Daphnia pulex: one gene and its partners. The protein of the gene in region 1 binds, or shares a complex with, the protein of each later gene. Links are inferred from orthologs where the notes say so. Each region holds a gene or a part of one and is shown on either strand. Other genes may lie near its edges. The genes, in order: nuclear pore complex protein Nup214-like, nuclear pore complex protein Nup85-like and PCI domain-containing protein 2-like.

Evidence for each region.
Region 2: nuclear pore complex protein Nup214-like (region 1) and nuclear pore complex protein Nup85-like share a complex: the UniProt entries of both Drosophila melanogaster proteins name them as parts of the nuclear pore complex. The link is inferred for Daphnia pulex from reciprocal best matches to the Drosophila melanogaster genes Nup214 and Nup75.
Region 3: nuclear pore complex protein Nup214-like (region 1) and PCI domain-containing protein 2-like share a complex: the UniProt entries of both Drosophila melanogaster proteins name them as parts of the nuclear pore complex. The link is inferred for Daphnia pulex from reciprocal best matches to the Drosophila melanogaster genes Nup214 and PCID2.

Annotation. Positions count from the first base shown.
Region 1 is NC_060027.1:5,448,572-5,452,325, reverse strand, and holds the start of nuclear pore complex protein Nup214-like, read left to right. Parts: upstream 1-1,028; 5' UTR 1,029-1,180; coding exon 1,181-1,213; intron 1,214-1,278; coding exon 1,279-1,617; intron 1,618-1,674; coding exon 1,675-1,865; intron 1,866-1,923; coding exon 1,924-2,232; intron 2,233-2,288; coding exon 2,289-3,492; intron 3,493-3,558; coding exon 3,559-3,686; intron 3,687-3,740; coding exon 3,741-3,754. UniProt on the Drosophila melanogaster protein: Part of the nuclear pore complex. Serves as a docking site in the receptor-mediated import of substrates across the nuclear pore complex including emb, RanGAP and phosphorylated Mad. Protects mbo/Nup88 from proteasomal degradation at the nuclear pore.
Region 2 is NC_060023.1:4,665,867-4,669,620, reverse strand, and holds the start of nuclear pore complex protein Nup85-like, read right to left. Parts: upstream 2,442-3,754; 5' UTR 2,300-2,441; coding exon 2,285-2,299; intron 2,223-2,284; coding exon 2,114-2,222; intron 2,057-2,113; coding exon 1,470-2,056; intron 1,400-1,469; coding exon 1,277-1,399; intron 1,164-1,276; coding exon 945-1,163; intron 818-944; coding exon 180-817; intron 108-179; coding exon 1-107. Other genes in the region: rRNA methyltransferase 2, mitochondrial-like, read left to right, coding at 2,674-2,834, 2,942-3,081, 3,150-3,198, 3,263-3,380, 3,452-3,712. UniProt on the Drosophila melanogaster protein: Component of the nuclear pore complex (NPC) that seems to be required for NPC assembly and maintenance. Required for nuclear import of phosphorylated Mad via importin msk.
Region 3 is NC_060025.1:7,986,187-7,989,615, reverse strand, and holds PCI domain-containing protein 2-like, read right to left. Parts: upstream 2,565-3,429; 5' UTR 2,391-2,564; coding exon 2,355-2,390; intron 2,280-2,354; coding exon 2,238-2,279; intron 2,160-2,237; coding exon 2,038-2,159; intron 1,976-2,037; coding exon 1,709-1,975; intron 1,644-1,708; coding exon 1,426-1,643; intron 1,364-1,425; coding exon 1,263-1,363; intron 1,182-1,262; coding exon 982-1,181; intron 914-981; coding exon 816-913; intron 752-815; coding exon 636-751; 3' UTR 559-635; downstream 1-558. Other genes in the region: threonine synthase-like 2, read left to right, coding at 1-101, 183-384. UniProt on the Drosophila melanogaster protein: Required for the export of nuclear mRNAs and involved in mRNA trafficking in the cytoplasm.

The DNA of each region.
Region 1 (3,754 bases):
GGAAATATTTTTGGATGGCACGACGGAGAAACAAGCTGCATACAAACCAGCTTCCTACCCTAGCCCAGCCTATCCTTTCGTACTCCTCATACAAACCTCTGCATACAAGCCCGCATCCATATCTCCGGCTTATCCGAACTACCAAGTAAATATCATATCCTGGCTTCTTGCTATAATTGATACAAATAAAGAAATAAAAGTTTTAAATAAACGATTAGTCAGAGTTTACTAGCAGTAATCTTTTTTCTCCCTGCGTCGCTTAAAAATGAATTTATGCGCTACGGCCGTATGGCGTCGCTGTGTCGCTGTTTCTGAATCTGATCAAATTAAACCAATAATTGTTTATTTGAATAGAAAATTTAAAAAAAAATAATTCCATCTTTTGCGGACTGATAAAGAAAAGGGATCGAGATGAATGAACTACACACAGGTTGGGATGAGGAAGTGAGTCGGATCTAAAGTTTGTCCTAGTTGGATATTCTTTGTCTAATTATGCTAGACTAAGGTTACATGAATTATCATCCAATTGAATCTCTTGAAAAATAATAATGTCCAATCGAGCCAGATTTGAGCAGACCGACCAGAATGTGTAGCCTAATAGATAAGGTGCCAGTTTATCTTACTTATAGATGTTAAGTTATTTAGAAGTTAAGTTAAGTTAATTTTGTTTGTTAATTAGTTCAAAGAGAGACTATTTGCCGTATAAAGAGACCGTGCACCACGATCAGATTTATCGTATATTATATAGTCCCTATTTGTAAATTTATTCCTCGAATATGATTCGTTTGATCGAATGTTTATTGTTTAATCGTTTTGAACAGGGTTTTCAATGAACCAAGTTGATGAAAATATTGTATCTTGCAATTTGGTTGACGTATCACGTAAGCCTTCCCTTTTGAATATCTTAACTCCACTATAGCCCCAAAAGTGATCAGAATTGGAAACACTACCCCTCAGCCCCTACCCTTTCAAAAAAAAGAACCGCGAGTTATTACAATTTAAAAAAATTCAAATTGCTTTGATAGATGGCGTTCACTTGTCACAAGCAGACAGGCAGTGAGGCACTCAAACAGTTAGACATTTCATAAAATTTCGACCGGCTTTGGCTTTGCAACAAAATAAGGTTGAAAGTGCGGTGTGATTTTCTATCCGAATATTACATTGATTATTGAAACTGATAATGGCAAACGTTCCTGATCCTGTTGAAGTCTTGGTAATTTTAAAATACATTTTTTTATTGTTTTCTTTCAATTCAACCAATCTAACTTGTAACAACAGGACTTCAAAATGAAACAGCTGTGTAAGTTTAGAGTCACTAAAAAGGAATATGATGTACAGGACACCACATCATTGCTGGCTACTTCTAATTTGTTTGGTCTGATCTTTGTTGGGACACCTGACAAACTTGTTGTCATCAAAGTTTCAGATCTTATACAAATTGACAATACAACATCAAAAAAATCAGAAATATCATCATTTCCCATCAAGGAAATTCTTTTACCCAACAAACCTAGTTTTGTAACACTGAGCTCTGATAATCTTACCTTAATGGTGTGCCTTCAAAAATCTGGATGCTCAGTAGGTTGGATGTATGATGTTCGTGGATTTGCAAGACAGGTATGATTTAAGGAATTTCATTTTGTGTGATTGAAACAGATTTAAAATCTTTTTCAGTCAGGTGAATGGAATCCCTTCCAGGAAGTCAGGCTTTCGTCTACTGATGGAGTTACTGTGAAAGATTGTGCGTGGAACCCTGTTATACCAACTCTAGTAGCTGTCTGTCTTAGTGATGGCTCTTTAGTTGCAGTGGAGATCAACAACACTCAATTCACTATAAATAGCCTTCCATCAAGTACAGGAGCCCAGTATGTGAATATCCTATTTTGTATGTATGTTATTTTCTTAATTTTATTGAATTATTAGGTCAGTCTGTTGGAGTCCCAAAGGAAAACAGCTAGTTGTGGCCAGGCCTAGTAAACTAGTTCAGTATAAGCCTGATTTAAAGGAAGCCAAGACTATAGCGTTTAGTGGTAGCGATGTCCATATGACTCAGCCAATGGTTTGTGGACTTCAGTGGCTTTCTACAACTCAGTTCCTTGTAACGTTTGTTGATCAAAATGAACCCAATTCTCGTCCCCACCTCTACATAGTCAACGTACAAAAATCGGGGGCAACAACTTTCATAGATTATGACGATGTTTGCTACGGAAGTCCGTCTGAAAGACCACACAGGTATACGAATTTTTTTCATTTTATTATCAATATAATGAATTTTGTTTCTTTTTTAGTTATCTAACATTGAGTTTATCCCCATGGAATGTGTTATTGGCTTGTTCAGCTAACGCAATAGAAGTTGCCGTACTAGCTCAAACAGGAGCTGGAGATGCTGATCACCCTGAATGGAGGCAATGGGCACTAGAAGGTGAATGGCGAGCTGAACTACCATTAAATGAGAATGCTGAGACTAACCCGTTGGGAATGGCCATCGATACCACTAGCCAAATTCCAATCAGTTGGGATGACAATCAAACTTTACCGCCCGCACCCATTCTTTTCATACTCAGCACTCATGGTCTGCTTTGCCCGTTTCATGTTATCAATCTAAAGAACGGTGCTGCCAAATTCAATCAGGCTCCTCAAGAATTGTCGGTCACTGGTGAGAGACCAGCGCTTAGTGGAATTGGTCTCAAGGCGGCTCCATTAGCAGCTTCCACTCCATTACCTGCTGCTGGTAAAATTGCATTTCCTAGAACAAATCTTGGAGAACGATTTGCTGCATTTGCGGATGCTCCTTCCTTAGCAGTCCCAGTTACAACGAAATTACCTTCAAATCCGCCTATTTCGGACTCGTTTTTGGGCAACAAACCCCAACTTCAACCTGCCTTACCTTCAGTGACGAAAGTTGCAACTGCACCTGTTGTACCAGCTGTGAAGATAGAAGCGGTTCCGGTTGTCCCGAAAGCTACTCCACTTACTGTCAAACTTACAAGTCAAACTCCAATCGCAGATGAATCTAACATCCATTCATCCATGGGCGCTGCCGCTGCAATATTACGTGACGAAGTGGCCAAATTCGTTCAAGACTTGAAGGAATTCAAAGCTCGTTCGTTGACTTTGAAAGTTACGATCGCGAGTGATGAGGAGAAAGAACGATTGTTAAAGATGACATCCGATCTGGCTGAGTTTGGTGTGGATCTGGTCGATACTACCAAAGTGCAAGACGAAGAAGTTCGAGGCTTGTGCACTGATTTGGTAGAAGTTGCCGCCCTTTTGGAAGATGCCCGTGTTCGACGTGCTCGTCGCAAAAATTCTCATTTCTGTCATTTGCTCAAGTTACGGCCTCTAGATCCAGGCAATCGCAGAAAAATGGACGGCATTGAGCGCTTGCACGTTCACATAGAACAGCAGCTTATAGAAGCTTCACGAAGCCTAGATTCGATTAGCAGAGACCGTACTAGAGACACCCGCAAAATTGAAATCCCAATAACTCAGGTAAGCTTGTTTTATTATTATTATTACTCTAAAATATTCAGCATCCTATGATTTATTTCATCTCAGGTTATTTATGAAGCAATTAGAAACAATACGAAAGTAATATCACAGTTAAAATCTCGTGTTGAACGAATTATGGTTCAGAGCAAAGAACAGCAACTGAAACTCGCCGGTGCAGCCTTCGAAGCTTTAAGGTATTTGCCATTCATAAATTCACTTAATTATTGAATTAATTGTGTGTTCTGTAGACCAAAGAGTGGTG
Region 2 (3,754 bases), on another chromosome or scaffold:
TCAACTCCTGTAGACTTTGCATTAATTCGTAAGTTTGTTCTGAAGTGAAAACTGGCGGATTTGTTTCTAATAATGGTAGTGCGTCCATGAGCAAAACGGTCCAAAAGCTGAAAACGAAATTTCAATAATTATTAGGCAGCTGCAATTATGATAACATGGTTAGTGGTTAGGCTACTTACTATTTCGGTGCAATCCGTGATGAGATTAAAGAGATCAAAAGGCCAGCTGCTGAATGAAAATCGTTTGAATTGTAAAGACGATGAAACTCGCGATATTTCCCAAGGAAAGCCAATCGATCGCTGGCAAGAAGTCCAGCACCCAGTGAGTCTAGCAAGTCCGTCGAAGTAAAATCTGAATCTTGAAGGTAACTCTTCAGAACAGCATCGGCGGCATAGGTAGCAAGAGGAGCGTCTTGCGCCTTAACAGCCCAAGCGACTGCCGCACCAAGTCGTCCATTGGCCAAGGCCCGTCGACCCATTACACGACAGACGGAAGTTACCACTGATGTTAGTTTTCTTCGCTCGGCAAGTGAAATTATTTTGGTTGCCTTCATTTCCGACTGGCACGGAAGTCGAGTGAGCAAGTGTTCCAGAGTCGCAGAACCAACATTAGGGCAATGGTCAAGATAGAGAACACCAACCGACCACAAGGATTGGTGGCTAAATAAGCAAATCGAGTAGTCACGAAGCAAAGTTTCTCTCAGCTGTAGTGAGTTAATGTCTTCGAACGACTGAAGTGCTCCGGCGTGATACAATAAATCAGCGAGATGTGCCGTAAACCAAGAATTATCCAATACTCCTTGCATTTCTCCAATCACCTGTGACAACAAATTTGAACAGATATAAAACGTTTCCAGTTAATTATGTTGGTAGTGTCTTGATACTTGCATGAACTCTTATCAAACTTGCTTAAAACTCTTATCCATTGATAACAGCGATACTCACTTTACGCGTGTCGCGACGAAGAACGGCCAAAAGTGTTGCATCTAGTGACGTCAAATCATCTAATCCGATTAAGGAAGCAAAAAACTGTTCGGCTTCATCTCCCAAAGATAACGTTCCAATTGTGGGTTGCGTGAACGTTAACTGAGTAATCATTCGTTGATACCAAGTTTCGAAATGATCGCCAACTTTTTCAAATGCTTCTTCTTTGCCACATAGTATCTTTATCGTAAGTAAATAGAAAGTTTATGTAAGTTAGACAAAAGACATACAACATAAACTAATGAAAATAAAAATGGGAATTAAGAGATCATTATATATAAAACATTATATACCTCCATTAGAAGTTCTAAATCTTTTGATTCGAAGAAATCTCCAGCTTGAGTGCGAGCCTCACATTCTTCTTTCCAATGATTCCATCTGAAGGTAAACTCTGGAGCAGAAACAGTTGAGTTGGCCTAAATAGAACAGAAATACTTAGGAGATAGAAAAATTGTTAATCTATCTAAATTACAAGAACTTTCTTACACTAAAGACTGGCATTTTCTTCAGCAACTCATATGCACTCTGAAAAGCTTCACTCTGGAAATCAGGATGAATTCTTAACAGTTTGGTAGCACTTTCTAAGCGTAACTGAAACACTAGTCCATAGAGAGCTTTCCAATAGCTTTCATGGAGTCCAGGATTTGGTGATGCTAAAACTGTACCAGTTTCTTCTACTGCATTTGGAAAATGAATACGAATCCATTCTAATAGGTGTGGCAGAATTCCAAGTGGGTTCTCAAGATACAGAATTTCACACAAATTCCACACCAACTCAGCTTTGTAAAATATTTCACTCATTTCTTGAAGTGCTTGATTAGATTCAACACTGTTAGCAAGATCTGCTGCTTGGTTCAAATCTTCAATGCATGCATTCATTATACAACGATACTGATGACTGGATTTAATTAACTCAGATGAGCTGATTTGGCCATCTGTGCCAGCCTTAATTTGTAAAGAAGTAAATGCTCCACAGGATTCATTGACCAGCTTGCGAACAAAAGGATTGTACAAGGTTCGCTCCCAAGAAATTGTATAAAGCTTCTTCTTACAAGTCTGGGGACTAACTGGACCTGTCATTGAGAAAAACTTAGTAGGAGTTTTTTGGCTAACTTCCAGAAAGAACTTACCAGAGGTGATCGACTTGGAAAATTCTGTTGGAAATACAGCCAAGCTGTTACCATAACCCCAAGAATGCCCAACATCTTTGTTGTATGCAAATAGAGGATCTTGTATTCCCTAAAACAAAGAAAGTTTGGTTACAAATATGTATACCATGAACAATTCGAAATTATTATTACAATAGGTTCAAGCATTCTGTAAAATGCGTGAAAATCACGTCACAAATCGTAATTGTGTGTAGGATTCAGAAGGATTTCAACTAACAGTCAGAACTCGTAACGAGTACTTTTTTGAAATATTTCTAATCTGTCGTCTGCTGCTTCGGTTTTACACCATACTGCAATGGCCATGGTTACGGCGGTAACTATGACCTGTGCTGCCGAATGTCGATAGCGGAAATTTCAATTTTCGTGGCTGCTTGTTTGTTGACAAAATATCATAGTCTACTTGATCTTATTAGGTGATGTTATATTGCTGTTTCATTAATACTTTCAAGTTGTTTATCGCTTTTCACCTGAAGAATTTATTTGATCCATATTAAAATATCCGTTTCAACAAAGTTTTTGCTATGAACATTGCCGTTTGTTCAGTAAGACAGTTTTGTTCGTCTTCAACATGCTTTAAAAAAGTGCCCGATCGGCTAAAGGGCCGCAGTAAAAGTTCTCAAGAATGGCTAACTCGGCAAATGAATGACGAGTATGTTCTTAAAGCCAAAATGGAAAATTATAGGTAGTAATTTTCAAATAAAAATTATGATTTCAATATTTTCAATTAACAGGCTATAGCTTCAGTTTAATTGTTGTCTAATATTTACTACTTCTTATTAACCAAGAAAGAGCTAGAAGTGCCTTTAAATTGATTGAAATTGATGACAAACACAAATTCCTTAAACCTGGAGATGTGGTTGTAGAATGTGGCGCTGCACCTGGTGCTTGGACACAAGTATGTGTAAAACGAATTAATGCAACAGGAAAAGGTAGATTGAATTGTTTAACTATTTAGCCTAATTAAAATGACACTAGAATGTTTATGGATTTCATGCAGTGTCTTCTCAGCTTAAAGGAAAGCATGTAGCAGTTGATCTTCAACCAATGTAAAAGGGCTGCAAAGTTTTGGTACCCTTAGTTCACTAACATTATTCAATTTTATTCTTTCAGGTACCCAATTGAAGGAGCTGTAATCTTGGCTCCATTAGATTTCACAAAAAGTTTGTCCCAGACCAGAATAACAGAAATACTTGGTGGGCAACTTGCTAATGCAGTCCTAAGTGATATGGTAGGGCTGATTTTATTTCAGTTTTTTTTTACCTTAAATTATTTCAATTAATATTTGCTAATTAAATTTAGGCTCCTGCAGCATCGGGTATACGAGATTTGGATCAAGATAGGATATTAGAATTAGCATATTCAGTGCTGCGTTACGCGCAACAAATCTCTATGGACGGAGCTACGCTATTGATAAAATTATGGGCAGGAGGAAGAATCAAACAACTGGAGAATGAGATTGCATTACACTATTCTCAAGTCAAAGTTGTGAAACCACCTAGTAGTAGACAGGATTCAGCTGAAATGTTTATACTAGCTAGTAATTTCAAGAAAAATACATAGTAATTATTTAACTACTTACTTTGCTTTATTCACATTGAAGTC
Region 3 (3,429 bases), on another chromosome or scaffold:
GACATCGTTCAGGCCATGCAACTTTGCCATAGCAAATACAATTATGTTATTTGTCCCCACACTGCAACGGCAGTCTCCTACTGTTTCAACGTAGATCAGAGGTGAGTATTTATTTTTGTTCTCTCCCCATGTACTTGATCCGGTTTAATGAGTTTCTTCCGGTCACCTTTATTGGTTTGTAGGGGAAAACAGGTATTCGTTTGTCTAGCTACGGCATCACCGGCGAAATTCCCCGAGGCCTGTGAAGCGGCAGGATTGGACAAGTCGACACACCATAGAGTGGAGAGATTAAAAATGGATACCGAAATTTGTACACCCCGACACGTCTTCCTAAAGGGCCACGATTGGACAAGTCAATTAAAAGATATCATCCTTAAGATTTAGGGGGAAAAAACCGTTGAATATCGTCACAAACAAATTTGAATATTTACCTGAGATTCACTCAGTTTTGGTGTAGAATAGCGTAGTCAGGTGAAACCTAACACAAATATGTAAGACTTTGAAACAAGAAAACAGCTAAAACTATTACTTAATACAAAAATAGGAAGCAAGAAACAATTCGTTCAATAAGAAATTTATTATTTTGTTTCAATTAGTCGCGAAAACAGGTGTGTGTAAGAGATATTAGATCCAACTTATACGATAGCAGCCAGCGATGGGAACGCATTCTGCTTGCTGATTACCAGCTTGTTGTGGCTGTTGGAAATGTACCCTTTGATTTTGTTCTCAAAGATGAGGTTTGCAATGATACCTGCGTTATAAAAAGAAATGGATCAAATTCTATAAAAGCCACATTAATTTATGTAACACTATACATTGCGTCTCGTCCAAGTCTATGTCTTCAACTCCCATGAATTTTAAGGCCTCAAGATAGGCTTCGATCGGGATTTGATGAGTTTTCATGAGCAAAGTTCTGAAAATTATAAATTCAAAAGAAATCATGTCGGCTCATCTTTCAACACCAACAATAAAATCCCTTACACTTTCTTAAACAAGTTTCTGTAGGTGGTGACTTTTAACTTTTCAAGAATCAAATAAACACCGCAGCGAATGAAAAAGGCATCGTGTTGAAGAAGGGCATTGTTGAGTCTCCGGAGATTACCCTCCCTAACAGCTTGCACCACTTCGCTAAACTGTAGAAGGTCATACTTTCTCAGCAATTGGGTTGTAGGAAGATGACCCTTTAAATGAAATGTAATACGTTAAGCATCTTCCTTCCGTTTTCCATCGCATTATGTGTACACAACAAATGAAAGTCATACCAAAAGCATTTTGACGGGAATCAGGTAGATTAAAATCAGTCGTTTGTTGGCGCGGCAGTTCTTGTGACACCGCTCAAACGCGTAGGATAAATATTTCTCAGCTAAATGCGAAATTAAATATAAGAATTGATTATCTTTTAGAAATTTATGTTACTCTGCTCACCGCTTTTGAAATCACTTTCGAAAATGGCCTTTCTGCCGACATAGTATCGGTAAGTCACTTGTTGGCTGAGGGAGAACTGGTCCTTGAACTGGGAGGCATCAATTGCGCGAATAAGAGCCTTACAAAGATGCAATTTGTTTATTCTAAAGTAGATTTTCAACAGCTGGTTGACCAAATACAGCATTCCCCAGCGTTTTGTATCTTCATCAGATGACCGACTGTAAATTCAAACAAAAGAATGAGTACCTAGTTACTACATAAGTCGCAAAATGTTATTTCTTACTTGTCAGCAGCACACACTCTAAAAAGTCCCATGAGGCACTCTGCAGCCTTTTCAAGTGTTTGTCCTGGTTTGTCTGCTCCTTTTTTGGCCAATTCTTTGTCTGCTTTGATTGCAAACATACGCAAATCTAAACTTATGACATACATGATGAATAAAGCCCAGTTGTCTTCCTTCTGTGTCTGAAAGAGCTTTGTAAACGCCTGTACCAAAGCACTTTGCTCAGAGTATGCTTCTAAATACTTTTGCTGGTTGATATAGCTTAAGCATCTAGATGGTAAAATTGAAAGTTGAAACCAAAATTTAAAATTGATGAAAGTTCAACTGTATACCTGAGATGAAGGACAACAATCTCATCAAAAGGAGCTTCCACGATTCTTTCAACAGACTTTTCAAATCCCTCCAAAATAAGTTTGGAGCTCATAACATGTGGGTGATTGAATGACAGGAGTTCCTAAAGGTTTCAAAATAAGAAGACGTGAAGTATTGCATGAGCATGATTTTACAAGAAATTTAATTTTGAATTTCTTACTGAAACTTCAGTTCCACTTCGAGATTGCCATGAAGATTGAATCTAAAATAGTTTAAATAAAAACAATCAACTAAAGATGTGTAAACAATGCATTCTGTTTGTGACGCGCTGTGTTACCTCACGTAAATATTGATTCAAATTCAAGTTAGCCATTTTTTTAGTGTCTTAGAAATGATTTTTCGAGACTAACTTAAAACTGGACATCGGTGGCTTACAGAAATCTAATTTTGGCGAAACACAATTGGATATTATTTGACAGAAAATTTCAATAATCACGCCGACCGGTCGCTTTCGAATTGTTCCTCAGCTCTTCGTCTGCTAGAAACTCTTACGTCATCTAGCGGTAACAAGTTGAATTACATATTTACAATTTCAAATTTTACGCCGCGCTTGTTATCAAAGTTTTTCGATCTCGAAAGGGAGGAAAAACCACAAAGTAAAATAAGAATTATATTATTTTACGACTGAACATGCCGCAACATAAACATAAATAGAATGAGTTGAGAAAGAACTGGTTCCATATCATGCATATCCAACAACTGAGATAATGCATGTGATTTAATCCAACAAAACAATTGACGCAGGACTGTACTGTATAAATGTATAAAACATTGAGTCGGGATTCCAATAACATATAAATTGCACAGAGGAGTTCCAAGTAAAAAAAAAAAAAACAAGGATCAACTACCTCCTGGACAGACTAATTAAAAAGCGTGGCGCCAGTCTAAGATGATTTCATACCTCACTAAGAAGTATGAAGAGAGAGAGTGAACAAACATGTCAAAATGGCTTAAAACTCTTGAGTACATAGATTAGCCGCTCAGCGGGCAGTCCACACACACTGCAGTGTGTGTGTATATAGGCGGGTTTACGCTAAACCCTGTAAAAAAAGATACAGCAGCATCAGCAGCGAATGGTCAATAATAATCAGCTCTACTTTAAGAGTGGACCGAACCACTCGTGTTTCCATTCTCTCCCCCCTCTTTTTCTACTTCCGATCTATTCTTATTTCGGCCTCCCCTGACTACTAGTTTTTCTTTTGTATCATTCGCTTTTAGTCGACAACGAGCCCCAGTGGCCCTATTTTGACAGTCAATTAAATATAGTGCATCACGTGTGCAAATAGTAGGAGGGAAACTTCGTTTCCATACGTTCGCACACGGATTTTCAAAGGTCCAATTTAAATATTTCC